Bombyx mori: one gene and its partner. The protein of the gene in region 1 purifies or fractionates together with the protein of each later gene. This does not show direct contact. Links are inferred from orthologs where the notes say so. Each region holds a gene or a part of one and is shown on either strand. Other genes may lie near its edges.

Region 1 (16,671 bases):
TTTTTGGTTTCATGTGTGTTTTAATGTTTCCGAAGCGAAGCGAGGGCGGGTCGCTAGTTATTAATAAAAATACAACATGTGACAATCCCACCTTATTTTACTCAATTTTGATATTGATAATCAACTCACAAATTAATTTATAAGTTTAATGATGGACAGATAAGGATGACAGCAAGTAATTGACAATTAAATTAAGAAGTAGATTAATAACGCAATATTGCTAACATATACCAAGTAATCCAAATGTGTCAGACCAAATGACTGCCAGTCAAAATAATCACAGTCCCCAAATCACCACACTTTAATAAGTTTATTCGTGCTATAGTGCTTTGGCAAAGTGAGGGAACATCTAATAGAAGTTAAACTTATAAATGATTACATGATGGTTAAATAAATTGGCTTACTACTCTGAAATTTTTTAGGACTTACATTCAAATGAAAAATTCAATTTTTTTCATCTATGAGATAAGCTGAAAGTTTTATTGACTAAACAATATCAAAATTTCAAATTTGTTAATTTTTCTACTTACATTACAAGTTGCATCATAGAGTGATTTTGGCTCTACCCCTGGCATTGCTAGCGTCCATGAACAACGGTAATCACTCATCATCAGGTAGACTATATGCTCATCAGCCTACAAGGGCAATAAAAGAAATTACTAAATTACTAATAAGAAAAATTTAATACTTACAAAGGATACACTGCTTCCTGAGTACAATGCAACATCTCTTTATAATCTGGCTGTGGATTATGCAACAGTGTATACCAATCCGAAAGTGCTTTTGGTGAACACATATATAGTGAGACTGACCCAGGCGGAGGCAGCACTAACAATGCGGCAAGTGTTCCTGATATGACCTCCAAAAAGGCACACATGTGTTGTATGATAACGCCATTCTCGCTGAAATGTTAATTTAAAATACATAAGTCAAGAATCTCAAAATATTTTTAGTTCTGTATTATCAAACTTTCTTGTAGAGCTAACAAAATTGTTGATGAGACGAGACAGGTGATTCAGTGAAAATGGAAAACTACCTTAGATTTAAATATTATGATTTACTTTTTCGAAATCTTATCCCTCATAATAAATAGGTAAGCACAATGTGACTGTGTCCGTATTCCAATTTCATTCTGCTTATAGTTTCATGAGCCTTGTAAATAGTGAGCCTGAGATTGGCTACTAGGATAGTAATAATCGAGTTTGAAATTTATGTAAAGATGGAACTAATATTATGAATTGTTTTCTTTAAGTATGAAATACTCACGCTTTACCCCTGGTGACCATGTCAATGAAAAACCAATGCAAAACCATGGGCAGGAGGACCATAAAGCCAAGGTACTGCCAGTCATATAGAGAGGGTTCATCAACGCACGGCATGCAGTAACTTGATGCGTTTGTCCTGAAACCTCGCGGACACGCCCCACAGTCACTCCACGACCCATCTTCGAGTTCAATACGACCACAATACAGTCCTGGACACGATCTTACAGCTGCCATTCTGTAATGGAACAATCTACAGCTGAGCTGTATAGATTGTATTTACTGTTGTATTGTCTAAGTGATATTACTATTTATATTAGTCTCAGAATCTTTTTTTCAGAATTATTACTTCGTCATAATATCAGAATCATATGTTAGACAGCGTACCTGTGTGAAATATTAATATAAATTTTATAATTCTTTTAATTCCCAAGCTTTTAAAAGTTTTAAATTGCTGATATCTGTACATACATAGTAGTCAATGTCAATGTCATGTTTTTCTTATTTTTTTGCACTGTGGTATGCAAAGAAATAGCAACACATTCTATGTACGGTACCAAATTGAATAGAGGTGGCATGTGGCTTAGAATAGGAAATATTGGTTTTCGTCGGAAGAGGCTACCACGCTAGCAATTTATTTAATTCAAAGTTTTAATAAATTTTATAATTCAAAGCCTTTAAAAAAAATTTTACTCTTTGAAAATTTATAAATACAATTCCACATCCCCAAAATGGATGTTACCATTGCTAGCATTAAAAAAAGACTTGACCTAAAGGTTTTAGTTACCAGGTCATAAAATCTCTTAAAGAAACCATTTTTAAGCTTATAAAGTTTTTAAGATTAAGTACCTACCATAGGTTATACACTTAATATTTGTGCCTACTATCGTGTCTATTTCTGTCGTCATGCATCCTGACTTAATGAGTGGGACACATGTTTTACAATTTAATAAATCAACCTCGTATCTCCAGGCGAGTGGCGGCTTTCACTTGTATTGTCTATGGGCTCTCAGTACTGAACTCTGTCCGGGCACAATCAGTCAATTCATTCAATCGAATCATGTTTCCAGATGAGCGGTGGCATACACCCCCTAATATCCATCTTTTGTTGGTTTTTAATACATGAAGTTCCTAACTGAAGCTCAGCAATATTAATTATTATTTATTTGCCTATAAAAAATGTCACCCTTTTTGGTTCTGAGATAAACCACTCCGGTAGATATTCCGGTACGAAGGGTATGAAACGTGTAGAAAACCAATTTTATTCGATCCTCAAACTTATAGGTATCTCAATGTTAAGGTTTGTACCGTAGAACACAAGTACTACTGGTGTAATTAAAAACAAATTTCACAAAATATGTTTAATATTATCGATACTAAATAAACATTTTAATTCGATTTACAAAGCCTTGAATTTTCCTTCTGGTCCTTGACCAGTTCTCAGCACAAATCGTGCTCGTAAACGTCTGTAAATACATTTCAGCACAAGAAAAGTTAAATATAGCAGAAATAGAACGACTGCAAGTATATAAGTAAGAATGTCCAACATGTAATATTTGATGAAGGTAACGCCAACAACTGGTGAACGTAGATGTTGTGCGCCGCGGTTACGAAGAACGTATTCAGTCCACCAGACAGCGTTGTCGGGACCCGAAATCAACGGATCGACAACCATACCTTTAAGCTTAATTATCGCTTTTTTGTACCTGAAAATTTTAAAAGAAGTCAGTAAGTAGATACCAAGTTTCCGAATTAAAACTTATTTCAATTTCATACTTACTTTTCATCAGTGGCCACTGTGGATATGACCTGTTTCAATGTTTGTTTGTCAATGTGTAAGGGGTCCAAGATTTCACCAGCGCCGTACTTGGTAAGCTCTCTTATAAATATCTTTCTAGATGTGATAAGAGGAAAACCTATGATTGGTACTTCATAAAATAGTGCTTCTTCCAAAGATCTAGGTCCGCCGTGAGTTATAAATGCCCTTACGTTTTTGTGTGCTGTAAATAGAGAAAAAAATCTATTTAAAAGTTTCAAATAATTATTTGGATTTTGGAGTATTAATGGCATAAAAATGTCACTACTTAAAATAAATGAATATCGAAAAAAAAAGTTAAAATTCATTAATTATCTTAATATTGTCTCATTACCAGTACCTAAATAAAATCTGCAAAAAATAATAATTACCCAATAATTGTTGTTGCGGAAACCATACGTCTGTGATAACGTTATCAGATAGCTTTAACGTGCTCATTTTACCAATCTTCCACAAAACTGTGAAAGGTAATTCTCTAAAAGCATCCGCGAAAACTTGAAGTGTTTTAACAGATAATTTCTCCGCCTCTTGTAGAGTTCCCAAGCTAAAGTAAATTACTCCCTTCGTTTGAGAGTCTAACAATGATTGTAAATTCTAAAACAAAATTTTGCAAGTACATTCATTACTTACATAAAAATATTTCTGCAGCGTTAATGATCTGTAGCTATAGAATACTATCTCTTAATTAAAATCCATATGTTATGAACATCACAAATAATGAACAGTAAAGTCTTATAACAATAAAACTTTATGCATATAAAATATAAGCAATAGGCTGCCTAATCTTATAAAGCAATCTGTTTAAGCATATATTTTTGTCAGAGAAACCATTTTCGACAGAGTTAGCAAAGAACCATTTTGTGACCTGAGTCCAAAGTCATCACCACCTAGAAACCATATCATCTAACACATGAGATACGAGATCTAACGGAAATTGATAACTGCTTCTCCCTTCTACTTCTTCTTGTTCTGCGGGTTCTTGCCCACAACATACCCTTTTATGTGCCTGCGGCTGAATATATATAAGGGGTGTGCCTAGGGCACTCGATTTATGTAGCACCCTCCCTCGTCGAAAATGTGGTTATGCAGATGGAAGTCCGTTAGACGAAATCGGGTGATGTAAGTGATCAACTAACTGACTCTCCCATACAGATCGTCCGAGCATGAACCATCAGTCAACAACCCTTCCGAGACAGGTAAGAGAAGTGGCCGCAGTCAATACCTCAACCAGCAGCCACCGCAAGAGCGCCAGACTGACGGAATCGTTATCGAAAACGTCTCCACGTGGCGGCACTGCTGATGTTTGGGGATACCCCTCTAGATCAGATTCAGAGGCAAAACCGTGGTTCTTTATTTTAAGCCTAATGAGCTTCGCACGGCCTCGATTTCTCCAGCCACTCCGAATCCGGTTACCGAGAGAGACCGCCATCATAACACCGAACATAACCTAAAACATAACGTTGTAATATATAAAAATAAATACCTGCGGAAGACTCATCCTTGGTTTAATATGCATCCGATCCACAAATTGTATGGCAGGTACAACCGGTCTATTCCCGATTAACAGCGGATTACTGGCAATGAACAACATATCGATGTCATATTCAACTTCTTGTAAATCTCTTTTCAATCCTAGTATCTTTTTGGCGGCAACATCGCATAACGGCAAATAGTTGTTGTAAAACTCTGTTTTCGTTTGTATGTGTCTGTAGAATTCGATAATTTTCTGCCAACGAGTCAAATTACCGTAGTTCAGTGAGTTCACGTCGGGATACAAAATAGGGTGAATGGGATTGCCTTTAGCTTCGTACTGGTGAATTTTTCCATTAAATGTACTTATCGTTATATGTGGAGTCTGGTATTTGTCAGCTAAAGCGTAAAGTAATGGTACATCTGCTTCAGTTATTACCAAGTCGAATTTTACATTAGGATTAATGAGCAGCGCCGTCATTTGCTTGGACTTCAGCTGCGCTATGGCAATTTTTAGTGAGAGCTCGTTCAGTGCTTTAAGCCGCGGATAGTAATCGTCCGTATTGGTCATCAGCCTTTTGTACTCCTCCCAAAACGGTGCTGATTCTTGACTAACATCTAGCTCGATTATGTTTTCTACCTCCGGATATTGAAACTCGCCTGGATAAGGAGTCATGACCACAACGGAATGTCCTCTTTGAGCGAGGAGAGACACATAGCCCCGAAAAACCAGATGATCTGAATAGGAAAGTGAAGAGAAGACTGCTAATATCGAAGCGCCTTGAGCCGCATAACACGGACATAAAACTAAACTAAAGAAGTAGAAAAACTTTAACCACATTGTGGAGAAAACGGACACTACACCAAAAGTGACTAGTTGTGACTGACGTGGAATTCAAAATGATATAAGTTTATGAGGAGGGCACGCAGTAGGTATTATGAGCAATAAAAGAAAATTTCACATCTGTACAAACATGCTCAATTTAGAACCGATTCATTGTAATATAAAAATGTTATGGTAGAACTTGGCTAGAATACGTGCATATAGACAAACATTCATTATAATGAGTTGTAATTATTTTCTTCTGACTTGGTAGTAGTTGTACCTGACTGCTGAGCCAATATTCGTGGGTTCGATTCACACATCGGCTACACATTCGTGTGTCTGAGAGGCTTATTGCTCATTAACTTAAATTATGCTTTTTGGCCTGAATATTTTATTCTACATTGTACTAATTTATTTAAAGGTATTTTAGCAGTCTGTGGTTCCTATAGTAAAGGGAATCCTAGTATGTGCTAAATTAACCGTTGTGATTTGGGCCAGATAACAAATCATGCACTCAAATGGGAGGAGAACATATTTTTTGGTATCAGACAGTGCTACAGCATTTTAAAGCGCTGAACGTACGCTGTTTTAGATAGTCCATAGTCTTGCGAAACGAGATGCTTCGTTGGAAGTACCTACCTTCGTAACATAGAATTTGCAACGTCGACAATTTTCTTTACTGTTTTTTAGTAGCTTAAGTGGAACAACGAGTATAAACAACTACGACACGGCATTTACGATGCAATTCGATCATATTCAATTATGACAAAACACTTTTCTTCTTGTTTTTATTTGCAATATTTATGTTTTTACGAGCTCAAACGTGGAGTTAAACTTAGTGGCTCGGACTACCGCGTACATGAGTAATTTTTTTTTAATTCAGTCGGTTAGAGATGCAAAAATGGCACATAAAAAAATTTAAAGAAATGTAGATAAATCCAGCGTTTCAGAGCTACTCAATTTTTCTAAAAAAATTTATTAGCATATTTTTCTAGTGCACATGTGAACGTTCCTTAATCGTCATAGCAACCAGTCGCCAACAATACTGTGTTGATTATAAAATATGTTATTGTAATATTAAAGTTTTGTAGATAAAACTTAGGGATTATAATCTGTTTTAATGTTATATTAGATTCCATAGTTTCTAAGATGGATTATGATGTTAATAATTATACAGTCGTTGGTCGAATCGGTGAAGGAGCCCACGGGCTTGTTTTCAAAGCCAAACACAACACAACAGGTCGCGAGGTGGCCTTAAAGAAAATTCTGATAAAGAATCTTGAAGATGGAATACCGGTCCATGTCATGAGAGAGATCAAGGCTTTACAACTACTAAGATGTAAATACGTCAGTACTTGTTTAAATTCACTGTAATTTAAATCCAATCCTTTCGTCCTAAAAAATACCGTTACAAAAAAAAGACCGTCAAAAAGCTCAAATTACTTATCTAATTGCAGGAAATTGTATTGTATTTTATTTAAAGTAAATATATGAAAACGATACAGATCCCTTTTTTTTCCTACCTAAGTTGATAGCCCTGAGAGGCTATATCAGCGTCGCTTTAACTAGTAGGTGAGCTCACGGGGTTCAAACCTGATGACGTTGCTAACACGAACCCTAGCAAGAGCCGTGCTTCGCAGAATCTACCACCGGATCGGAAACGCGACCCACTGAGAAGATCCAGCGAGAAACTCAGTGGGCTGTGTCTGAGGGTTAATTTACTCGTAGAGCCTTTCGTCGCAAGCGACGGGTTCGACGAGAACGATGACCAGTGCTTGAGGTACCTAAAAGCACCGTTAGTGGATCGGGAGGATCCGAAATGACGTGTTTGGGGCGAGGTCAACTGCTTTCCATTCTGTCCGCAGGATCGGGCATGTAGTTACCGGCGGCCACGATGAGAGGATTCTCGTGTCGTGCCGCTTTATCCAAGTAGACAGATCCCACAGTTAAGGCGGCGTTTGGTGTGATTTTTAAACAGAAAGGATTGCCATTTCACAGTTCGAAAAAATAACACCGTAACAAAACTGCACAGTGATTGATTTATCTTTTTTCTAATTTCAGATTATTAAACTATACGATATGTTCCCGCGCGGCATGAGTCTTGTTCTCGTGCTAGAATATATGTACTCCGGATTATGGGAAATGTTGCACCAATGCGAGCATGAACTGACAATAGCTAGAGTCAAAACTTATGCAGAAATGTTATTAAAGGGAATGCGTTACATGCATGCTCATTACGTCATGCATAGGGTATAGTATATCATTATAATTAGTACTTTCTAGAATAATCCAGAGCATTTCAATTATTCATTTAAATGTTAATTCAAAATATAATTTCAAAGATATTCGTAAAAATGTATAGCTTTTATTGTGTTTAAGGATCTGAAACCAGCAAACCTGTTAATAAATCATGAGGGAATATTGAAAATAGCAGATCTAGGATTAGCGCGACTATACTGGCCTGAGGGTGGTAGGCCCTATTCACATCAAGTGGCCACAAGGTTAATACGCACTATATTATTTAATTAAACAATCAAAGAAGCCACGTCCGCATCGTTTTTTTTTGTCAGGAGGAAATCACCGGACTTCCGCCCTCCCCTGGGGATGGAGGGCGGGGCATGTCGGAGTTGAACCGACTAAAACCTCCTGTTGCTCAACAACCAGCATCGAAACCTCGCATGAGACAGAACTCATGAAAGGAAAAGGGGAGAAAGTGAAGCGCTTAGTGCGGAGCACATCTCTCCCATCACCTTCCCCCTCGGGACGCCGGACCGGCGGTGGTCGGCGCCACGACCACCAGCCCTCTTGGTCGGCCTCCGCATCGTTTAGTGAATTTTCAAATTATAAAATCGTATCGTTGGCATTGTTTATGGACTGAGAATTCCATACCTTCGTATATAACTTTACTTTAAACTTCACTAAATTACAGGTGGTATCGTGCTCCGGAATTGTTGTATGGAGCACGCTATTACTCTGAAAAAATAGACCTGTGGTCAGTTGGATGCATAATTGCCGAAATGATTACAAAGAAACCACTATTTGCTGTGAGTAATCTAGTATTCGTATTTTTAGTATTTCATTAAAACAATTATTATCGATGTTATAATCACTATTATCAAAGGGGATTTTAATAGGATTTTTAGTCTACACGTTATCATGGCGGCTGCAACAGCGTCTAAATATCAAGAACTTTAATACCTAATAAAAATCATCGAAATTAATAATTACTAATCCAAAGAAATTTAGAAATTTTATATTTGCTTTTTGTTTATTATTTATGAACTGATCTCAGAAAATACAAAACCAATTTTATATTGGATTTCTCTTGGCAAATTATTACACAAAAGTACGGGCACCATTTTATTAGCAGAGCGGAAGGGAAGTGAAGTGACATAGATACATATTGTAATAATACATTATAGACTAACTAAACTAAATTATAGACTAACATATTATTATATAGCCACAGAGTAGTGCACAGATCCTAAAATATACTCAACACACCCCCTCAATTTATAGAAGTTTACAACTGCTAAAATTGTTCAAACAAAATACAAGTTTAATGAATTACAAATTTTGTTAACTGTCCACTCTGTGCATTACTAACACTATTTATCATAAATACCTTTTTTCTTTTTCTTTCAATATTAGTTACATTAAAATATTTACTAAATTAACAGTTATCTAATTAATTCTCTTAAGATAATAATAATGCTAAACAATTAAATATGTATAACATATGCATAGCTTTTCTAATACAATATTTAAACTAAATTCAACTTGCTACAAAAATAATTATGTTTTTGAATAGTTAAAGATTTTGTAAATATATCAGAGATATTTTCATTTGTAGGCACATATGAGATTGACACTATTTTCTTATAAATTAAATCTTTAATGTAGTGATATTTTATTTCAATATGTTTAGAAGCTTTAGTATTCATCTGATTTTGTATCAATTTTATTGTACTCTGATTGTCAATCAATAAATGAGCTGAAATGATACTAGTACTTAATATGTCAGAAAGTATGTATGTATCCTTTGATGTGAATAAGTTCACTCATTGAGTGTGCTCCAGCCACATACTCAGCTTCAGCTGTTGACAGGGCGGTACATGTTTGCTTTCTAGAGAACCAAGTTATTAAGTTCTGGCCTTGATATATAGCACAGCCACTTGTGCTCTTACGGTCTGTTCTATCTGCTGCCCAGTCAGCGTCTGAGTAGGCTATAAGTTTTGTGTACTCTTCGGTCTTCCTATAAATCAGTCCCTGATGCGAGGTTCCTTTAAGATAACGTAACACTCTCTTACTTGCTGTCCATAATTCTTGTGTGGGTTTATCTAAGAATCTGCTTAAGAATGATACAGCATAAGCAATATCCGGTCGACTATTCACAGCAATGTACAACAAAGATCCTATTAATTCCTTGAAGGGTACTTCAATTATATCTGATGGTGATGGAATGTTTACATTAAAATTAATTTCCATTGGAGTCTTGCTTGATTTGCAATCTTGCATGTGATATTTCTCCAGGAGTCTTTTAATTATTTCTGTTTGTCTTATTTCCAAGCTGTCTTCTGTTCTTGTTACTTCCAATCCTAAATATTGATGTACTTCTCCTAAGTTTTTTACTTTAAATTCCTTTTCTAATTCCTTTATCATCTCATTGCTATTTCCAAGGTATAAAATATCATCCACATAGAGTAATATCCAGATTTTTCCTTTTCCATATAGACATAAATCATGCTGTGATTGTACAAACCCTTTCTGAATGACAAAATTATTAAATCTTTGATTCCAGCATTTAGGTGCTTCTTTTAATCCATACAAAGCCCTTTTAAGTTTTAAAACTTTTCCTTCACTAATTTCCATTCCTTTGGGACATTTTATATAGACATTGTCATTTAATTTTCCATTTAAGAAGGCTGTTGGTACGTCCAATTGCTTTAATGACAAATCCAGTTGAACTGCTAAACTCATCATTAATCTGATAGTTGACAATTTGGCTACCGGAGCATAATGATTATCATTGTTCTGTTGCTGAAAACCTTTCGCTACTAATCGAGCTCTCTTGGTTCCATTTTGTTTAGTTCTGAATACCCATTTTGTGTCTATTGCTTTACTTCCCATTGGTAATGTAGCTTCTTCCCATGTCTCTAATTTCACTTGTGAATTTAATTCTGTCTTTATTGCTTTTTCCCAGTCTTTGTCATGAATTGCATCTTCAAATTCTTGTGGATCTCCCGATAAAAGACAGTATGCTATATTTAGATCATATTCTTCTAAGTTTTTTGGTTTGCGAATTTCTCTTCCTGATCTTGTTATATATTTCTGTATATTTATTCTACCTTTTTTATTCAATTTTTCATTTTCTTCTTCATCATCTTGATTATTCTTTGATACTTCTTTATTTGTTTTATCAGGTATTCTATCATGTTGCATGTTTTCATCATTCTCATTAAGTATTCTTATCTCTTGGTCATCTTTTGTGTCCTTCTCAGTATCTTCATTTTGTATTAATTCATCTTCATAGTATGTTTCTCCTTTTATGTTATGCTTTTCTTCAGTTTCCTTGTAGTTTAATTGAGTTTCATCAATTCTGACATCTCTTGACACTATCACTTTATTACTTGTAGGGTCCCATAGACGATATCCATTTGGGCTATATCCTACGAGTCTCATTTCTTTAGCTCTTTGTAAAAGTTTATCTTGTTTTGGTATGATATGAACCCATGATTTTGATCCAAATATCCTAAGTCTTGTTAAGTCTTTGTTTCCAAACATTTTCTCTGCTGGAGTTTGAAAGTTGATAGCAGACGATGGACATCTGTTGGTTTGATAGACAGCACATCGCACCGCTTCACCCCATAAGGTTTTTGGTAAACCAGATTCAATTAATAAAGTCCGAGCTCTGTTATAAATATTTCTGTTCATGCGTTCTGAAACTCCGTTTGATTGTGGGCTATAAGGCAAAGTAAACTGTTGAACAATTCCCTTATCTTTGCAAAATTTATTTAGTTTTTCATTTTTAAACTCACCACCATTATCACTTCTGATTTTCTTGACTTTACATTCTATTTGTCTTTCCATTCTATTAACATATTCTATGAGCCTATCGGTTGCCTCACTTTTTCTTTGTAATAAGTATACCTCACAGAAATGTGTGTAATCATCTATAATTGTATGAAAATATACCTCATTTGTAAGTGTAGGAATATTTATTGGTCCTGATATATCTGTGTGTATGAGTTCTCCTATATACTTTGATCTCGGCTTGGGTGTTGTAGAGAATGGTAATCTTGTTGATTTTCCTTCTACACATATTCCACATGGTTTTTCTGAGATAGGTAATTTCAATAATTTTAAGTGTTTTCTATTAGCATGTCCTAACCTTTTGTGCCATAGATCTTTATCATTATTTATCGAATAACATTTTTCTAAGTTTAATGTTAGATTGATTGCATACAGACTATTAAGCATGGTACCATAAATTATGTTATTTCCTTTAGCAATTGATACAGAATTTTTATGAAATCTGACAGAATTTCCTTTCTCTAATAATTTTTTAACAGATAATAAGTTGTGGGATAGCCCCTTGACAAGTAGTGCTTCTATTTTAATAGGTAAGTTATTATATTTTACATTTAAAATCCCTTTTTTACTTGAAAACAAATATTGACCATTAGCAACATAAATCTTAGTTTTAGTTTCTAAATATTCAATGTTTGACATGTACTTTTCATAACTATCAATGACTAAATTTTGAGATGCTCCTGAATCAATAATAAACTTAATGTCCTCATTATACACATCAACAGATAGTACCTTTTCACTGGCAACAAAAGAAAATGGATTTCTCTCACTTAAAGCACTTTTTCCTTGTTGGAGTATGGTGTCCCTTGATGATCCCCTCGATTGTCCTCTCACGTTGCCTCTGGGATTGCTTCGGTTAAAGCCTCTGCCGTTACCTGGATTGAAGTCTCTGCCGTTGCCTCGATAGAAGTCTCTAGTGTAACTTCCGTTGAAATATCCGACGTTGCCCATTTTGCCTCGATGCTGTCCTCTCATTAAGTGTCCAGTTCTGCACTGTATAGCTTTGTGACCAGTTTTACCACATTTAAAGCAACTGAGGAAGCTGTGTGCATCCTGTGATTCCATTGAATTATTTTGGTTTTTTAGTTCTGCATCTAACAATTTGCTTTTGACATACTCTGTTGTGAGTTCCACATTAGTAGTTTCTAAGGCGGCAATTGTAGTATTGTAGCTGTCAGGCATAGTCAGTAGTAAGTGGCACACCTTGTCTTGTTCATTTACAGTGCTTCCAGTTTCTTCTAATTGTCTTATTAACATATCAAAATTGTTGAAGTGGTCGCTCAGTTCGACACTGGGGTCACATTTTAAGGTTAATAATTTCTTCCTGACGTATAACGCAGATAACGTACTTTTTCTTTTGAATATTTTTCGTAAGTTTTCGATCATCTCTTTTGCACTCGTAGCGCTTCTGACGTATTCCAAGTGTTTGTCTGAGAGGCAGTTGACTATCAAACTTCTAGCTTTTGCGTCTTTCTTTTTGAATTTTTCTGACTTCAATATTTCCTCTGTTATGCCATCTTCAATTGCTTCTTTGCATTCCTTTTCCTCTAGGATGCATGATATTCGAAATATCCACGTGCTGAAATTAGTTCCAGTAAACTCTGGAAGTAATTTTCTTGAAGCGTCGTCCGCCATTTTAGTACCGAGTAATTTTTTGTCTTCCTCTCGACTTTTCGCTTTTATTGTTACTATTATATTTCTTCTTCGTTAAATTAATTCTTTTAAACTCCAAGTGGCGGTCGTTGCGCAGTGGAAGCGTATTGGATTTCTCTTGGCAAATTATTACACAAAAGTACGGGCACCATTTTATTAGCAGAGCGGAAGGGAAGTGAAGTGACATAGATACATATTGTAATAATACATTATAGACTAACTAAACTAAATTATAGACTAACATATTATTATATAGCCACAGAGTAGTGCACAGATCCTAAAATATACTCAACATTTTAAAGATTACTTTGATTGATTTTCCTTTACACTATGTAGAAGTTGTAGGTAAGTAATTTATTCTGATGTCAAATAAATTAATCCGAATCATTTTTTTTATTTTTGCGGTAAATATCGATAAGGCCTGGCATTAGCCACCGACTATGCTGTTCCTGACATTGACAATCCATAAGTATCTAATTATCTGGCTTCGTGGTAAAGCTTTTAAAGGATTAGATGGTACCATAGAGTTACTATTCTAACTGGAGTGCTTACTTCGTTTGACATAAAAACTAAAAATATACTTTATGTCTATGGCTTAAAGTTTATTTTTAAATAGCAAAAGATGTAAGGAAAAACGGTCTGAAAAGAGAATGATTATTAAGTGGTGGTGTCCCTCTCGCACATTTTACAAACAAAAAGCAGTGTTGCTAGCTTAGCGGATTTTCCATAAAATCTCGGAATTTGGACCCCCGTCTTAGTTATCAAAAATGGCTTTTAGTGGTTAGTGGATTTTTTAGTAGCTTGGGCGTTGTTGAAAATTATCGAAAAAGTTAAAATCAATCCACTTTACAGGATTTTAAACATTTTATGACAATAATATATCTAAATACATATTATTTAAACGATGTGACTTAAACTTAACTAGAAAATGTTGCGAGAATTTAGAATTTCCATCAACGTCAAAAATTAAATTGGTTCAAAATAAACGTACAAAGTTATGGTGAAATTAGTTTCGGATGATGACAATTTATTAAAATAAATTATATAAGAAGTATTGATTATATGATATATATTGATTTTTAATAGAACATCATATATTAATAAAACTTATTAACAAAAAAATTATTGTTCTATATTAATAAGAACTCTGTTTAATGGAAAATTTAATGGTAGGTACGTAGATTTCTGATGGTTTTCATGTTGAATTTGGTGGGAAGCCAGATTAATTGTTGGCATCACCGAAAAAGAGCTATGAATGGATTAAAAGAAAAATGGCGTCTATTTACGTTTGTAGTGCGAAGTTAAAATGGCACTGATACAGCTTGTGGCTTGTTTTTTTTCGAAAATCGTGAAAGTTTCCGTGTAATCATGGTGAACACTTTTAATGTAAGTGGTTTTAAGCGAGAATCCTCTCCAGTTTGTGGAATATCCTTCCATATGTCAGATTCATTGATAAATTTTTACTAGTGTGAGCATATATTTTTAAAATGTGAGATATTTTGTCTCATTATAATATTTAATACCATTTGTCTTGTAAATTGTACTTAATCTATGTCATATACTAAATTTGAAAAAACAATCGTGAAAACTATAATTTTGCAATGTATTTTTCATATTATAAGAGCCATCACGTGGTATTTCTTGAACTTTTTTTATTGTATTGAATAGCGTCGCACGCAAGCATGTATATCATTTGCCTGACGTTAAGCGAACGAGGAGGATCTTCTAGTAAATATGACTTTGGAATTTCTGGAAAATGTCCTTTAAAAAGGTCAAACAAGAAGAATCAAGTACTCAAACGCAAGAAATAAAAAATACCCCGAGAAAAGCAAAATTACGACAAGATGTTAAGGTATTGAAACAAAAACTTAAAAGTCGTGAAATAGTGATTGTAAATATAAAGTCGATTTTAGATTTATTAAAGAAAAATGGCGATTTTTAATTGAATTGAAATTTAAATTGCGAAATTTTAATGATACTCATGGTCCACTTAGATATTGATTAAAATAAATAATGTATTTCGTTGAAAAAAAAGAATTTACTTAAAAATAAATAGAGGAAATGTTATATTATAAGATTACAGAAAATTTACTGAACTTAATAATAATAATATAACCAATATTTTGTAAATAGAGATCAAGTACTATGTGTATTGTGTTATGTGTATTGACTTGTCATTTAAGAGTTATTTAATTGTTTACATATAACAAATAAATGAATTTCAGTTCATTTCATTTTATTACCCATTGTGTTTTATTTCCTAAAATGTAACTAGTAGACTTAATATACACGTGTCATGATAATAGCACAGAAGTAAAAATACAAGTAATTTTAAATCAATTGAAGATGTGAATGTAGGAAAAGAGCACCCGATACGCGCAGACCATGTGTGTTGCAGTGTCTCACTCAGTGTGTCAAATATTAATTTGCACGGCCCACTTAGCCAGTACACTAAAGTAGGAATTGCGTAATTAAGTTCAACATAATATTTAAGTCGCGGTTGAGTATTCGGACGTTAAACATGAGTTTGAGGAAGTTTAAGTAATAGCACTGAGGTAATGATGTTTGTAATAAAACTCAGTGCTAGATTTTCGACAACGCAGCAACTTCCAAAAAAAAACGTCGAAAAAAGGCACCATGACGACGAAGCAATGTTTAGAATTGAATTTACATAAATAAAACGTTGCAAGCACGTGTTTTGTATTTACATAGGGTTACACAGAATTACTTAAGGTAAATTCAAAACTGATGCATGTGTATAATTTTATCCTATAAATAAATTTTATATGGTCACCACATTAGACAAGGACACCGCGACCAAAAAGTATTCTCTTTCGAGACCGATTTCTCGGCATCAGACAGCACTCCAGTTGTAGGTACTTATTAACTCCATGGATGGTACAAACACGCGGCGCCACACGCAAAGGGGTTTCCGCACTCAATTCCCATTTCAGGAATATACCAATATTCTTCAATATTTTTCAATGTTGGGTACCTAATACTTTTTATTTGTTTTAGGGAGAATCGGACATTGAACAACTAGCAATTGTACTTCAGCACCTTGGAACGCCCACAGAAGAAACATGGCCCGGTCACTCGCAACTACCGGACTTCCATAAAATATCTTTCCCTGAATCTGCTCCGACGCCATGGATTGACCTTTTGCCAGGCGTGGAGCCAGACGCAATTCATCTAATAAAATCATTTATTTTATATGATGCTGACAGAAGAATGTCAGCGAAACAAGTAAGATTAATTTATACATTGTTACTTTATTGAGCCATTTTATTAGGCACCTCAATACATACCTGTAGCGTATAACCTGAAACGGTTTTTTTTGTAGTGAATTCTTCTTTAACATAGTTATCATTTGAAAGTCAATCAAACGAGAACGTGACAATAAAAAAAGATAAACTTAAACGTCTATTTTTAGGACTTATCTAGGACTCAGCCTTTTTTCACATATAATTCAACTCATTTATGTTCATCTCACGCCTATTCTAGATATCCCATTGTCATAAATGATTAGACGACCATAATGGGTCATGAAG
Region 2 (16,535 bases), on another chromosome or scaffold:
TTAGTGCGATTTTTTTAACGCTCTCGATAGCGTAAAAGTTGGAGTGGGAGTAGGAGCGTTCGCTTATGTTTGCCGCTAGGGGCGCTGTTCCAACTGCATACAAATTTGAGTTAACTTTTACGCTATCGAGAACGTTAAGAAACTCGCACTAAGCACACTGCTCCCTTACTCAGAGTAAAATTAATTTGTACCCTTCTACGCAGTGTTTTCCTTTGCAGTTAGTCTAACTGCAGTTTATGCATTAGTAGGTACGGCCGGCGACCGCTTTATCATAATATAAATTCACATTCACAACTCTTACGTCACCGATTTGATTCGAAATCACGGTCACACATTTTTTTTCTTACATATTGACTAGCCGAGTGAATATTTTAGACGTATCACCCAATTGCAGGTTATAAGTGTTATAACATTTAGGCGAGGAAAAAACGAAGCAGAAATAATCATTTGTAATAAATTTGATTTTTAATACGCTTTTTATTTATAGTCAACTTTACGTGTCACTATAATTAATTCTATTGTTCTAATTCTAAAGGAATCAGAATCAGAAATAATTTCATTAACCCTCGCTAAGATTTCTGCTCTTAGCGAGAAATTTGTTTAGACCCATTTTGACGAAAGATACTTGGTGAAAGAGTTAATTATCGTAAATGATTTTGCCAATCTAATAATCTTCCGATCTGTTTTTTGAAACTTTTAACTCGACTGGGAATTAATATATTTTAAGATTAGAGTAGAATTATTTTGTCCGTGCAGTTTGGGTCATAAAAAATCGGAGCGGTGAAGCGAGTATTTCGCTCTCTCTTCCACTCACGAGCCTTATGGACGGGCATAGTGATGCACATTATTGTTGTCGATAAGCGTTATCGATAGTGTGTTTAGTTTTGTCATTTTGTGGGTTAGTAATAAAAATGAAAGAAAACATCAACGAACACTTACACCACATATCGACGCAGCAAGTTAACGAGAACGGCAGAAATTAACACTTTGAAACTTTTCGAGATCTATTCTTATTTCAGTGAAAAATTTAACACATTGTTGATAACAACACGTGCAAATATTATTTTGAATAAATTCTGCCGTTTTGATAGAAAACAAAGGAGTAGCCATTGTGTCACTGAAGAAATTCAGAGAACGAGTGCATAAAAACACATTTCTCTTCGACATAATACTATAATTTGCAGGTAAGTACAAAATTAAATGACTCATAATATAACAATGTCTCACCACCCTTCGTATACCACCCCGCCGCCGTGTATCTGCCTTCGATGACTTATTTGTTTTTATCGATAATGGCGTTGCGCCCGCGCAACATGCTCACCGCCCTACCAGGGCTATGTTTTATGACCCAAACTGCACCGACAAAATAATTCTACTATAGTTTCTAGGTTTTTTCCATTAGAACATGAAAATACAATAAATTATTTTTAAAAAAATGTTTTAGTATCAGTATCATTAAATTCCCCTTTAGCTATTTAATTCCAAGTTTTTGTAAAGTTAAACATCTTTCTCGACCGCAGAATAAGTCAAGACGAGTTGTTCACACGAAATTTTTAAATCTAGAATTTTTTCTGCATTATGGATACATACGAGGCCAGAGCAAAAACAATACCCCGATAACAAAATCTTAAACAAAGACTGTCTTTGTCAGGGAATCGAGTATGCGCCCGACGGTACAGTAGCAACTAGATTGATTTGATCATGCTACTGTGCCACAGTTGAGTATGTAGATTGGATTGTATTGTTTACAATCAGATTTCTATTACTGTTTGTAGTAAAATTTATAATTAATTAATAGTTACTTATATAACTAATATAGCATGCACATAACTTAAATGCACTTTGAGTGGAGTCAGTTGCTAATAATGTGAATGCACATTTACAATTTTGTAAAGTGAGTTTTTTAAATATGTAGTCAGCTATCTGACTCTACATTTTCATTGCTAAATATAAATAAGTTTCATTTTAACAATCAATTTTGTTTTGTTTCAAAGTGCATTTATGTTTTACGCATCAATATTATACTTAATATTTATATGTTTTTACTTTTTAATTCATCATTTCATCTTTCATATTACACATTATTAAAGTCCATTTGTAAACCATTTGTTCATAAAGTTAACTTCATTTTAATTTAGGACATTTCAGTAATAATTATAAAATCGATTAAAAATATCACTAGTAGCCAAATACTGGAACCTTATCAATATAATTTGAAACATAACAATTCCCAATATTATGGTATTTAAAATTACTTGGTAAAAATACAGTATTTGGCAGTACTTTTCTTAAAATCTAATTAAGTCTCATCCTCACAACACTCTTCTATTTCATCATAGTTCTTTTCACAATAAATAAGTTCTGACGTACATTTGTACGGATGGATTGATTGTTAACATCGATCATTCTTGACTGACGGATTGAGATCGTGGAAATACGCATGCGCCATTGCATCATCAGCTGGCATTCTTAAAGCTGGATTGCAGGTGAGCAGCCGAGCGAGTAGATCTCGACCTCTAGCCGGCAATCTTGGTACAACTTGGGCGAGGCCTAAACTTGGCTGATAAACAGGCAAAGGTTTGTAGTCCGGCAGTTGAGTTACTCCAGGCCATGTGTCCTCATTGGGTGTACCTGATAAGTAAACATAGTTTGATTGAAAAAGGATAACTGACAGATTAATACACCCATACAATACCAGTGACACACTTCCTATTTGTATGTCAATGAATAAGTCTTTGCAAATGGCACAATATTTACAATGCAAGAGCTTTGATGTAATTTTCCTAGACAAATCTATATATTTTTACTAAAAATATGTAAAAGTTAACTATTATTTTGTAACACTTCAGTACACTCTGTAGGCATTTTTATAAATACTATGTTTACCGTAAGTTTCTGAAATGCAGAAGAAGAAATCTTATGATGGCAGAAAATTATATTCATTTGCTAATTAAAGTATTTATGATATATATATAGAAGGGGTCTGCAATATGACTCAGCAAAAAAATTAAATAACAACACAAAATTTGAAACATGAGTCGACTATTATCAAAGGCGGCAATCTGACTTTTTGACAATGATTGGTAAATCAGAAAAACGAATTATTGACTTTGTATTCCATTGGCAGTCACAAAACTCTTCGGAACGACATCTTAGATAAATAACAGGTTAACTATTAACCTTTATTTAATGCAGGTTTTGAACCGTATTCTTTGAAGGAGACGATTATATTCAAATAAATCTGTATTGACATATCAATAAAAAAAATTTGTCCAAATGTACAGATTGCCACCTTTGATAATAGACGACTCACATGTTCAAACTTTAATGGTATAATATGTATTTTTTAGTTTAATATGGTACATGATGTCATGATTGACTATTTTAGTAAAAAAAATGATTTATTATTTAAATGCCGAAGTGTTCATCAATTACAATAAGTTATAGGAAAGGAAACACTATTCCTACTTAATGACATTGTTCGACCGTGAGTGTTGGGATTAACATTCTTATATTATTTTGTACTTGGAGGACTAGGCTAACAACTTTTGTCAGGCCGGTAATCTTTATGCCAACCCATAGATTGTTTCTAACTTTTTTATGCAGAATCTGCAATCTAATAGGGGGTTGACTAGAAAATAGTATGTGTGGAATTATCAGACAGCTGTTTACTAAGCCCCCAACAGAATAAAGTAGCAATGGTGATATGGTATATTGTAAGCCTACTCTCTAGTTTGTTGGGAGAGTTAAAATTCAATAAATTTATTTTACATATTGTTATAATCTGTCCGATCCTTTAAATAAGGCATCAATCAGACATAATCATAGTTCTTACTTTTGCATAATTATATGCAGTTAATGTTGGTATTAAGCTCAGAGACTCGGCCATTCAAATTTAATTTAAGATCTAAACCAGTTTTGTGATATGACTTTTTATTGTCACCAAGAGCCCTTATGTGGTTTTCAATATAAAATCATAATTAGGCTTCCTAAATTCAGAATAGAGTAATAAAACTTTGGAGATTTATTATGATGAACTCACCTAAAAGCTTAAAAATCCTCTTTAATTGATCATCAACATCTGAACCTGGGAATAGCGGTCTGCCCGAATTTGCAAGTTCTGCAAATATACATCCAGCAGACCACATATCAATGCTTGTTGTGTACAACTTAGCACCAAATAATACATCAGGAGGCCGGTACCATAAGGTTACAACTTCAGCGGAATAGCACTTTACTGGTATGCCAAAAGCTCTGGCCAGACCAAAATCAGCTAACTTTAATTCACCGTTCTTGTTTATTAAGAGATTCTGTGGCTTCAAGTCCCTATGGAGAACGTTGTGGCTGTGACAAAAAGCTAGTCCTCGAAGTAATTGATACATGAATGATTTCACAACATCTAGATCTATTTCTCCATTCAAACTATCGAAGTATTTTTTTAAGTCTTGATCACAATGTTCAAACACTAGGGTTAATTTCTTTTCGCTGTGCAATACATCGTAAAGTCGCACTATATTTTTATGCTTTAATTCTTTGAGAAGACATATTTCACGAAGAGCGGAAGATGGTACTCCTTCATCGTCGTCGTCTAATCTAACACGTTTGAGCGCTACGATTTCGTGTGTTTCTTTATTCTTGGCTTTAAATACCGTACCATAGGTTCCTTCACCGATTTTTTCAAGTTTCTCATATTTTTGCATATTTTTGAACTACAGATTTACTCACTTTAGTTCGATCGATTGTTTTTAATTTAGACTGACTTATATTAAGTGTATAATCTATGGACTGACTGATTTTTGAGTAGTTGTTCTATTTTTCCAACCGGACAGGCACAGGTATCTTACTATACAGCCTACGCTTTTGATATATATTTTTTGAATAATGATAATATGAAGTGAAATTAAATGAATTTGATTAATTTGGAACGTTAATCACTTGACATGAAATGAAATTAAATGAGATGAGATAGTATGGGGTGAAATATAATCTCAGTAAAAAGTTGATTGTTTACTGAGACTTTTTTGTGGACTTTTTGGAAGATCCCGAGAAGCTACGTCCAGCGACTTTGTTTTATTTTCCCATATTTGTGTACTTTTACAGATACTAAACAGTTAATAAGCCACGATTAATCACACACTACCACATTTAAACCTGAAGAAACACTAAATATACAGAATAAAACAATTCACACAACTTCACTCCTCGCATTCCTGCTAAAAAGTCCTCTGTCTTATTAGTACATACTACATGTTGGAGTTTGAATATGAAAGTAATGGCCGGCAACAGTTGACACATGTAAGGTTACAGTTTCGAATATTGGAATTATTTTAAAAGTCTAAAATAAATAATTGTGTTCTCGTCAGTGAAGACAACGACTTCTCATCTAGACACGGTCAGAGCAACATCTAAGAGTTTTATAAAAAATAAAACATTGTAATAATGTTATAGTGTACAAAGTGTTTGCAATATAATTATATTAACCATGAAGCAGAGTGTTTTTAAATAGCCCCTCATCAACCTACAGAACCCAATCCCCTCAAATTTCACCGTCCAACACTACATACAACTATCTTATAAATCTACATATTATTATGCATGTGAAGGGCCGTCAAACATTCATTCGCAAACTTAGCAGCTGTGCAAATGGGTTCGGTAGTCAATTCGCGAACCCGTTTGCGCTTCCTCCTACACTTGTTTACGAATGTCTCACGAATTTCTCCTCCTTTTTAATTCGTCAATAGACATTGAAGAGAAAAAGAGTTTTGAATTCTTTCCCAGACATCATTAACAGCCATGCTGTTTTTATGGGATTTCTTTTGATGAAGATACGTTACACAGTAGACGTCACGAACTATGAAAATGACGATACGTCCGTTACCTTCGTAATCGTCGGCGCAACTGGGCAAACGAATGTGTGGGAGACTACGCGAAGGCTCGCGGTTCGCGCGCTTTGATGTCTGTTAAAAAACCGACACAGCTTGGAAAACCACGAATGTAGCGAAAACTTTGCATAATCATTTGCAAATGTCGTCCTACACTTGCGGGTTTGCGTATTCGTGCGCATGTGAGTGACCGGTGTTATAAACGTGCAAGGAAATCATAGTATTAGAGCATACAGGCGCAGGTCTAATGCTTTTTCTTTTTGGAAGAATTTGGATTTTGTGGCCTGGGAAAGAGACCTTTAAGGCAAGTCAAACGCTAATCCAGATTAAAAGGTGTCTTTGAGGGATTAAAAATATATGAAATGAAATTGCCCCGCGCCCGTCTCGCTCAGTCGTTCGTTGTCACATAATGTCGCATAAAGCATTTGGATTGTTTTGATCTCACGTAAACAATCGAACTATAACAGTTCCTTTAAGCTGTTATTCAATACTAAACTTTATCCAGCCAGTAACCTGATAATATTATTTACGTCATAAATTGATGTAATAAACGGTAACCCAAACGTTCGACTGAACGGGTCGTACGAACCGGATCATTTTGTCAACAGGTCAGTACCGTAAAATGGGGCGATTAGGGACAAATTCCAACTTTATGAGCAATTTTAAGGTAGTTGTTGATGTATATAATGCTATATCAGGATCAAAATGATTGAGTCTTGGGGGCATCTTTGTTGTCTAATTTAAAAATAAGCAACTAGCATTCCAGTTTAAGCAAAAAATGCAAAAATAGGTGTAATCCCTATTTACCCGAAAATTGCGGTTAATTGGGACGAAATGAGAAATTTGCTAGGGTTGGCACTACTTTTATTTTTATATATAGTTTTAATTTATTTATTTATTTAGTTGCACCAACAAAGTGATCATCAATAAAAAAAATTGAAAAACTGACAAAAGTACATGGCAGACATCACCTCAATTATAGGTGCAATCGACAGTGCAGTAACAACAAAATATATATATATATATATATATATATTTACACATATATAGTGGGCTTTCTTAGAAACGGTTTATATTTCTCCGTTCTTGGTAAGTACTTAGGGGGCTGATATTTCTATCTGGGTTAAGAGATTAGGTGTGTCGGTTATTCCATGGATTAATCAGATGAATACCCCCACTCTGAACAAATATTAAATATTCTATTATGTATTACTGAAACATTTTTGTCACCTTGAGATTTCATTGATCTTGTTACATGTCTCTGCAAAATCGACTTACTTATATTAAATTGCTTATCTATTTCAACTAAAGACTTATTCCCAATTTCGCTTCGATAAACCAGATTTTTACCAACAAATTTAAAAAAGATTGTTATAACTACATAGACAACCCTACAAACCTGTACCTATTTATACTTAGGTCGTTTCCATTTCACGTATTCTCATCCCAATTGACCCCTTTTTCGTTGTTATTTGTACCTAAGACGTCCCCAATATCCCCAAGAACAACAGATTTTTACATGTATTTTTATTTAATCAAATACATTAAAACCAATAACAACTGAGACTTACCTTTAATATATATGCTGGTTCAAACACTAAATAACGTTTATAAATCATAGTCGTCTTCTATTATTATCAAATAAATAAAAGAGAGCAAAGTTTCTAGCACTAAAATAATTACCACCACAGGAAGTTAATTTGAAACGCGATTTTTTATAAGTTAGCAGCTATTATCATGCATATTCAGAGTTGTTTTGTGAACTTTCAACATTCTACTATTAAACTACAAAAAAATGGAAGATTTTGCAACGAATATAAAACTTATATTGAGCGTCGAAAGATTTTCCCGGTTTTTTCCCGATTCGCCTTTCAATCCCTAATCGCCCCATTTTACCGGTACTGATCTGAATCTCTAAAATTGAACGAACGACACATATCTAGTGGTCACACTGAATCAAAGCCAAAAACTTGAATTGTCATACTGTCAAATATTCTCTGATTTATTTGTACCTACTTGTTACCTAGTTTTGTTGTGTGTTAATATATAAATATTATCTGTTACTTTCGCTTTCTAGAAACTTTTAAAGGTAAGAGTAAGATAAATGTCCTCTTGATAAATTCAAGTTGCGATGTCGATAAGATGTTTTTCAACATGAAAATAGTTGATTGAATGATAAACATTAACTACGTATTATCTTTACGATCGAACAAACACCACGCTTTATTTACAGATGAGTGAAGAAAGCAAAGCTTTGACGGACAAGTCTGAAAGCAGCTCTTTCGAAGACTTAGCGGCTGCGGCTGCTGAGGAGATCGAGGAAGCGAAACTTGCCGAAGCTGCCGCAGCAGAGAAGGAAAAATCCCCAGAAGTAAAGAATGACGAATGGCAAGATGTTCTTGGGTCCGGAGCTCTGCTTAAAAAGGTTGCTTAAAGTTTAAAAATATTAATCTAAACTTCTTCTTTAAATCAATAGATTAAATAAATAAAAATTTAATTTCGTTCATTACTTAACGATTTATTCACCGAAAAGTTTTTATAATGGGATAAAAAAAACTAAAACCCATAATTTTAATATAAAAAAAAATAACTGTACATGAGGCAAATTTAAAATATTTCAAATATATTTTCCGCTTTTAATTTTTTATTCCAAATTAAACAAGGAAACTTGTATCCAAAGTCTTAATAAAAAGAAGAAAATGTTTAATGGTTAAAATCAAATGCATAAAGTAGTAAAATCACCTCGGAAATTGCATCAATTGACTAAAACTTACAAGAGTATTCTACTGTGGAACATTTGCTACATTTCAAAGCAAAAGAAACTCCCATTTGCAGATATTGAAACAAGGGGATGAAATATCTGGATCCAGACCACAAAGAGGGGACATATGCAGAATCAGCTATGAACTCAAAATAAAAGACAGTAACAACATTGTGGAGAAAAGAGATCAGATAAAAATATATTTAGGAGACAATGAGGTGAGTTAAAACTGATTCTAATATATATTATCTAATAAAGTTTTTTGAAGTGAACTGAAATAATCCTAGAGTCATTAATGTTGACACTGATTTTGGTTTTGTGGTTGGATGATGAGGTTTATCACCCATGTACTAGCGATAGACATTCCAAAACAAATTTAATAATTATGAATAATCTGTGTGAAGATGATTAAAAAAAAGCTTTAGGGCTGCTAATATGAAGCTTTGTCATTTCCAGAAGTTCTTGTTTCTTATTATTCACAGATAATATATTGATGATAATTTTTGGGATTATGAATATATTTAGTACATTTTATCAGTTTCTGCCTTTGAGGGTTTATAGTAAAAAGTATCTTGTAAAGTAGGTGATGCAAAGACTAAAAATGTTTTAAATTTAGGTATATTTTTGTGTTAAAGATCTATTATTTGTTCTTATCAGAAATCTGTTGTGAGCGATATCTTTTCCTTGATTTACTTATATGCATTACTTTATATACTGTAATATGATGGCCATATTGATTAGATAATTTTTGTTTGCATCTTATAAAATTTAAGACTATAGAAATGAATGCATGAAAGTTTTGCAAAAGTGATGAATAGCATTTGAAATCTATATGTCAGTTAAAAATATTCAAAAATATAATTTTATTCAGAAATGAATGATTTTGTAACTTTATATTTTTTTTAGTAAGATGTATTTATATTGTTTCATAATCATTATTATTTATGGGTATTTATAGGATGTATTTATTGATTTTGAGAATTTAAGAATTAAATCATATTTTTGCAGTTTTCTTCTGAGAGGTTCCACTAACCTACTGTCTTTCTTTTTAGGAATGTGTTCCCTTGCACTCTATACATATTGCAAACCAACAAAAAATAACCATAAACATTACAGCAACTATAAACTAATTATAGACGAAAAGTATCTAGGGCAGTTTTGTTCCTAAATAATATCTCTTCTATATAATTGAGTAAAATTATTTTAACTAAAACAACTGAAACTGTTTCATTAAATAAATTTAATATTTTAGGTATTGCAAGGTTTGGACCTAGCATTAACTTTAATGTACAGAGGTGAGGAATGTATTTTGCAACTTGCTCCAAGATTTGCCTATGGAGAAATGGGACTTAAACCAGGTGAGAGCCTTGGATTAGTCGGACAGTGTGATGAACCCAAGTATAAAGGACCTATTATTGGACCAGACACATGGCTTGAAGCCAAATTAGTGCTGCATGATTGGTCAGAAGAACCTGAACACGATGTATTGTCAATAGCGGAAAAAATGGAAATCGGGTAATGTATTTATGTTTCTGTTTCAACTATAATATAATTTTCTACTTTTAATTTATAGCTAAACTAAAATAGAACTAAAAAAAAATATTTCAATTTAATGTTGCTATTATGATTTTACCAGTAGGATACGTAAGCAAAGAAAAACTCATGAAAGTTATGTTGAATTACAATAGTTGTTGGATTTTAAGTTCATAATTAGAATATCCACAGAATAAAGCTTGTGTATTATTTAAAATATATACTACGGCACTGCACTACTAATGCATAGGTTAATGAGCTCCTAGCTCACCTGGTCTTTAGTTTTAAAACCAGAATGCCACCACCCACCTTGAGATATGGGATTGAAGTGTCAATAGTATTGTATAACAGCCTTTTTATTGTTCCATGATTCAGACATAAATGGTGTTGACTACCCTTTCTGACTCACAATGGGCCTCTAACTTATATTTTTTAATTATGATTTTATACCTAAAATATTCAATTATGTTAATTTTGTAGTCTAAATTAGCAAATACGTTGATTTCATAATGCCCTTGAATAATGTTGATATAGCTCAGAATAATATTATCAAGGTCCCACCAAATGTTGCAATAGTTGGTTAAACATGTTGACTGATTAATAATATTTAAATTGGGACAAAACTTTAATATATTCACTTGGTGCTATTTTAAGGGTAAGTTGGTATTTAAAAACATATTGCATTGAAGTTGGCCATGTCTTAATCAGTAAGACGCCAGTCCAACTCATATAGATTGATGCAATATTTTGCAACTATATATATTTATTTCAAGCCTTGCAAGGATTTTTCAAAAAACTTATTAACCTTTAAGCTTTATCAAAAGCAGATAGAACATCGTGTAATAAAAATAAAAATTGTGTAAAAAAAATGCTTATTTATCCGTGGCAGGTTATTAGAGCTGGGGTATATATAACACCATCCACATGTTTTATGTTGAGTGGCGACATTCCTATTGTATTTTCTACGGATTCCATTATCTATTTCACTAATTAATGAGTCATGACTAATTTGTGAAATTGTCATGACCAATGTAGAACAAAAAAAATATGCAAATGTTTAAAAAATATATAATATGAAAAAATTGCCTGCATTTTACTTGTAAAGATAAGCTTATGAGCCCGAAAACAGAGTTTACTAATAGCTATTTATTAGTTCAATTACTTAAGTCTGATTACTTGTGAAATATGGAGAGTTTTGTATGTTCGTATTCAATTTGTTGGTACTATGTTATTATATACTCACTATAATATTAATACCATCACCCAACCGGACAAAAAGAACAAAGTATCAAACGCATTGTAATTTGTTTAAAAAAATATTTCAGAATTCGTCGTAGAGCCCGCGGTAACTGGTGGTACGGTCGTGATGAACCACAACTAGCGGTGCAGCTATATCGGAGAGCTCTCGACATTCTGGACGAAAGCGAAGGAGGGATCACTGATCCCACGCCGTCTGGGGAACTCACATTCGCTAACCAGGCACTGAAAGAGTTGCTGGATGAACGACTCAGGGTTCATAACAACATGGCTGCTGCTCAACTCAAGGCCGGAGCTTATGAAGCTGCTTTACAGGTACGCCGTGTGACAGATTTAAAAAATGTACAAAGGTACTCATTTAATACAAAATTGCAATAAATTTTAACGAAATTTTGATTAAAAATAGTAAAAATTTACTATATATTAGACACGAACTGTTTTCGTTTGAAATATAAAAGTTGATTCGCCATAAAAATACGTTTATTAAATATTTTAGGCCGTAACCAGAGTACTTTCATGTCAACCGAAAAACGCTAAAGCTCTTTATCGCAAATCACGCATTCTATCTGCGATGGGACGGAACCCTGAAGCCCTGGAGGCAGCTAAAGCAGCGGCGGCCGCAGCCCCCGAGGATACTGGTGCTAAAAAAGAATTACAACGATGCGAACAAAGAGCTTCTAGGGATCGTTCTGTGGAAAGGAAACTGGCTAAACGTATGCTGGGCACTACTGACGTGTCGGCGAAAAGCGATGCACCCTCTCCCGATAAGAAACCTTCCAGGTCTAAGGTTAGTTTGGCAATGTGTTAATGTTGAAGTGTTTTTGTGTATCTTAAAAAATGCTATACTTCATCAAGTACATTTTTTTATGGCTCATTCCCCTCTTTAGATTTACCCGTTTTGAAATGGAGGTCTTACTGCATGGTACACTGATGCTGTCAGACCTCAATTGCATTGACGAAGTTTGTCAGTAGGGGCATTTTGAGAATTTCAAAATGAGACTGTTTATTCTGATCATCGTATTTTGAAGCTGAGGTCTTGGATAGCGAGGGCCTTTAATATGATATACCAATCATTTTTCTATAGCCAGAAATGTTCTGGAGCATTTATCTGTTTGTGGCCTCATGTAGCGTACAGGTGTCAGCAAACACTTTTTCCCGTCGGTGTCGTAAAACCGACTAAGAGATTCATAAGAAACGGCAAAAGGAAGATCTTCCACCTAGCCAGTGAAATCGCTCGGTAGATTGACGGTCCGAATGGAATTCTTCGAAGTTTATATACTACTAGCTGACCCGGCAGACTTCGTAGTGCCTCAATCGATAAATAAAAGACCTAAGCTTTTGTATAAAATAAACTTAAAACAAACAAAAGGAATCCGTCTGATGGGGGACACATCAAAGGGAAAACAAAATTGTTATTTTTATTTAATTTCGAGCACTTTCATATTTATCTACATTTTAAACCTTCTCTGGACTTCCACAAATAATTCAAGACCAAAATTAGCCAAATCGGTCAAGCCGTTTTCATGTTATGTCGTGACAACGGAAAACGGGTTTCATTTTTATATATATAGATATGTATATAGTATATCTAGTTCGCATCGATAGGTACTACCACCCCGCGCACTATTTCTGCCGTGAAGCAGTAATGCGTTTCGGCTTGAAGGGTGGGGCAACTCTTGTAACTATACTGAGACCTTAGAACTTATATCCCAAAGTGGGTGGCGCATTTACGTTGTAGATGGCTCCAGTAACCACTGAACACCAGTGGGCTGTGAGCTCGTCCACACATCTAAAGCAATAAAAAAAAACTTGTCTTGAAATTGTCATGAGATTCTGGCATAGTGTCCAATAACTTGTGTTCTGTGATAGCTACCACTAAACTAGCTTTTAATTTTATTTATGATTCTGCAGATCCTAGTGTGGGGCTCGCTTCTGCTCAGCTTGTTGGTGGGTGTCGCCAGCGTCCTCGTATACAGATATAAAATGCAGGCGCACTGACGCGACGTTCATTTTACGATGTTTAGAACATATGTAAGTAAATACCCTATTATCAGTACATAATGTATTATATTCTATATTGTTCCCTCACTGCTGAGGATCTCGACCACATATGACCTTCCTCCATAGTGTTCGGTCATGGGTGGCATGGATCGCATGGTTCCAGACTATTACCAAGTGCTTCTCTTACTAGATCTGACCATCTGGCTGGTGTTACTGGTATACTGTATTAAAACTTCCTAAATACAACGATCAGGATACTAACCTGTGTTATGTTTATGGATTTTAAAAAAACTCTTTCTAACCAGGAAATGAAAATTTTGGTAAACTATAGTACATTGTGCACCAAGGGAGACAAGTTGGACATTGCCTCCCGCGTGTAAAATAGCAAACACGTGGCAGGGAATGTCCAACTTTTCTCCCGCGGTGCACATACTATTTTTTCTCCTACCAGGCCGAAAGTTCGTGAAGTACCGAGCCGGGGTCCAAGGGTGAAGCCCAGGTGGGGGCAGGGGGGCGGAGCCCCCCCTTACTCATAAAAAAAAACCAATTTCACTGTTTTTTTATTTTTAAATAGTACTACTACTAATTAAATAAGAACTGTCTGATGAACTCATCTTTGTTCAATACTTCACTATTAAATTTTATTGCCTTTTGTTTATTTCACTTTTACACTAAACACAATATTGTAAATTACCCGAGCACAACAATGGCGGAGAATTTTAGGTGCGTGAGAGCAGACGTAGACACTAACGCGCATGCGCACTTGTACCCAGGGAGAAAAAGTTACACTTTCTTCCCTGTAAAGCGGGACGAAAACCGAACTTTCGGCGTAGGTAGGAGAAAAAAATAATATTCATGTTACTGGGAAAATTCTGAATTTTTTTAAATATTCAATAGGATCAGTATCAAAAATGGAACATTTAAGTGAATCAAGTTTGAACACTATCAATGACTAAAAAAAACATTTCATGCTAAACATTTACCATTTTCCAGTTAATGGAGATTTTGTTGGTGTGGAGTGAATTAGTCGGTGGAAGGTGCACATTATACTTAAGGACACCATAATACGCTGATACTACTGACTTGATTACTAAAAGATATATGACTTCAATATTCGCTGTTGTGTTAGTATTAATAAATATCACAGTTAGGCATTGTTATATAATAAACAATATAATTAAACAAAACTCAAGTAGAACTTGCTGTCAACTTAGATAGCTAACTTCAGTTCTAATAGTAAGGAGTCTTGTTGATGTGCTCAATATCAATTTATTATAAATCAATATTAGGATGCATACGTTTGATGTTGATAATACTTGATATTATAAAAATTTAAATCATTAATCAATATAAGAAGTACATATTATCGAAAATTACTTGAAATAGATGTAAAAAAAAAATTCAGCTGTTACATAATATGAATATCATGTGATTTTTATTCGTCCCATATCCTTAGAAGTTGCAGTTTTAGTATCACTTAGGTAATTCTATTCTTGTTTGTATTGTAAAAAGGGTATAGGCTTAGGTAAATGAATACTGCTTTGAGAAAACTATTTACAATTGCACATTATTATTTTCCATAATATAGTTTTTTTTTTAATAATTATATTTCGTTTTCGAGATTTTTAATATTGAAAAGCCTTAGGGTAACATAAAATGTAAAGGCAAAAATATCTGTTGTAATTTGATTTAAAATTGTGTTTTAAATTCACTAGTCATCATTAAACTTTTAAACAGCCTGTATAATGTATGTGTTTGTGTCAGAACTCACGACTGGTGCCAAACATGTACATATGTATTTATTTGATTATTTATAATTAATATTAATGATACTGTAAACGTATAAAAATATATTTTTTGACTATTTTCTACATAAGAGACAAAGTCATTCCAATTGTATTTTCAAGGAATATGTTTGATAATACTTTTTTTATATTTTTATTTCGCTTCAATCGTTTCGCTAAGAGCTGCATTTAAAATCTCAGTCTTGGGAGTTTTAACACAGTTTAAACCCTAATATGTATATATAATGTATATTTTTATACTATGTTTCTTGTTCGCAAACATCATCAAGCATCACAATAATAGTTTTCATCCTTCAAAAAAAAAAAGGTTCTGAATAAAGAAATTTATCAAACACTTGTTTTATTTAAAAATATACATATACAAAAATTATGGTTTCGCATACTTATGTTGCTATTTATACATATTATAGGAATGCAGTCATCTATGATTCCATAGTTCCTTAGACTAATTAACATCAACGATGGCTGCCTGTGTTTTAAAACCGTAATATTATAAAAGTGTATTATCTATGATAGTAATTACATACATGTACTGACGTACTTTCTTTCAGCTTAAAACGCCTGCGCGTGTGGCTCCGCCATGCGGGCGACGAACTAAGCTCAAGTGTTAGAACCTTCGCCTAACCACAGCATCATTTAATTTTTATTAGTCACGTTTAATGTGTACGTAACTATGTTCACCCACAGCTGTGTATTCACTGTAACTATACTTGAGACTTTAGAACTTATATCTCAAGGTGGGTGGCGCATTTACGTTGTATATTTCTATGGGCTCCACAAACCTCTTAACACCAGGTGGGCTGTGAGCATGTCCACTAACAAAAAAAAAAAAAAAATTCAGCCAAACCATCCTTGTAAAAAATATACAAATTCATAAAACAATCATATCATTTTCAACTTTATTATATTACACTTTTCTGCTTTGTTAATACTTACCTCAGTCCTGATCTAGTGATTAGTACTCTAGCCAGCCAACTCGTAACATGCGTTAAAAAAATAATATAACCTATGGTAGCTAACGCCTGTACACCAAAGACTGTTGCAACGAAATCGTATAATAGTTTAGGAGAGAAGACAGACCACACAAATAAATGGTGTCGAAATATTGTCGCTATCACTGTATATAAGACGACAGCGTATACTCTGTGGAGCGCCAATATGTTTGTAGCCCGCCATATTGATTTTAAGTACCTGTAAGAAATTTTAAAATGTTAAATTTGTGATGAATTGCTGTGACATTTATGTGGAGTTCACGACTTGGAGTTTTAACTACTTTTACGGTTTAAGTTTCACCTT

Evidence for each region.
Region 2: the proteins of cyclin-dependent kinase 20 (region 1) and peptidyl-prolyl cis-trans isomerase FKBP8 purify together in Homo sapiens (affinity purification with mass spectrometry; 5 studies listed by BioGRID and IntAct, with this or other methods). This does not show direct contact. The link is inferred for Bombyx mori from reciprocal best matches to the Homo sapiens genes CDK20 and FKBP8.

Annotation. Positions count from the first base shown.
Region 1 is NC_085131.1:6,627,136-6,643,806, forward strand, and holds the start of cyclin-dependent kinase 20, read left to right. Parts: upstream 1-6,377; 5' UTR 6,378-6,523; coding exon 6,524-6,721; intron 6,722-7,435; coding exon 7,436-7,624; intron 7,625-7,753; coding exon 7,754-7,875; intron 7,876-8,303; coding exon 8,304-8,418; intron 8,419-13,495; exon of another isoform or gene 13,496-14,506; intron 14,507-14,788; exon of another isoform or gene 14,789-15,362; intron 15,363-16,138; coding exon 16,139-16,366; intron 16,367-16,671. Other genes in the region: JNK1/MAPK8-associated membrane protein, read right to left, coding at 693-902, 1,267-1,499; Ugt2 (uridine diphosphate glucosyltransferase precursor), read right to left, coding at 2,662-2,968, 3,043-3,262, 3,450-3,672, 4,562-5,389. UniProt on the Homo sapiens protein: Required for high-level Shh responses in the developing neural tube.
Region 2 is NC_085125.1:9,567,183-9,583,717, forward strand, and holds peptidyl-prolyl cis-trans isomerase FKBP8, read left to right. Parts: upstream 1-7,787; 5' UTR 7,788-7,971; intron 7,972-8,115; coding exon 8,116-8,307; intron 8,308-8,717; coding exon 8,718-8,861; intron 8,862-9,895; coding exon 9,896-10,158; intron 10,159-11,501; coding exon 11,502-11,748; intron 11,749-11,929; coding exon 11,930-12,220; intron 12,221-13,344; coding exon 13,345-13,431; 3' UTR 13,432-13,464; exon of another isoform or gene 13,465-14,427; 3' UTR 14,428-15,571; downstream 15,572-16,535. Other genes in the region: cyclin dependent kinase 5, read right to left, coding at 2,393-2,631, 4,043-4,700; GPI ethanolamine phosphate transferase 2, read right to left, coding at 16,172-16,430. UniProt on the Homo sapiens protein: Constitutively inactive PPiase, which becomes active when bound to calmodulin and calcium. Seems to act as a chaperone for BCL2, targets it to the mitochondria and modulates its phosphorylation state.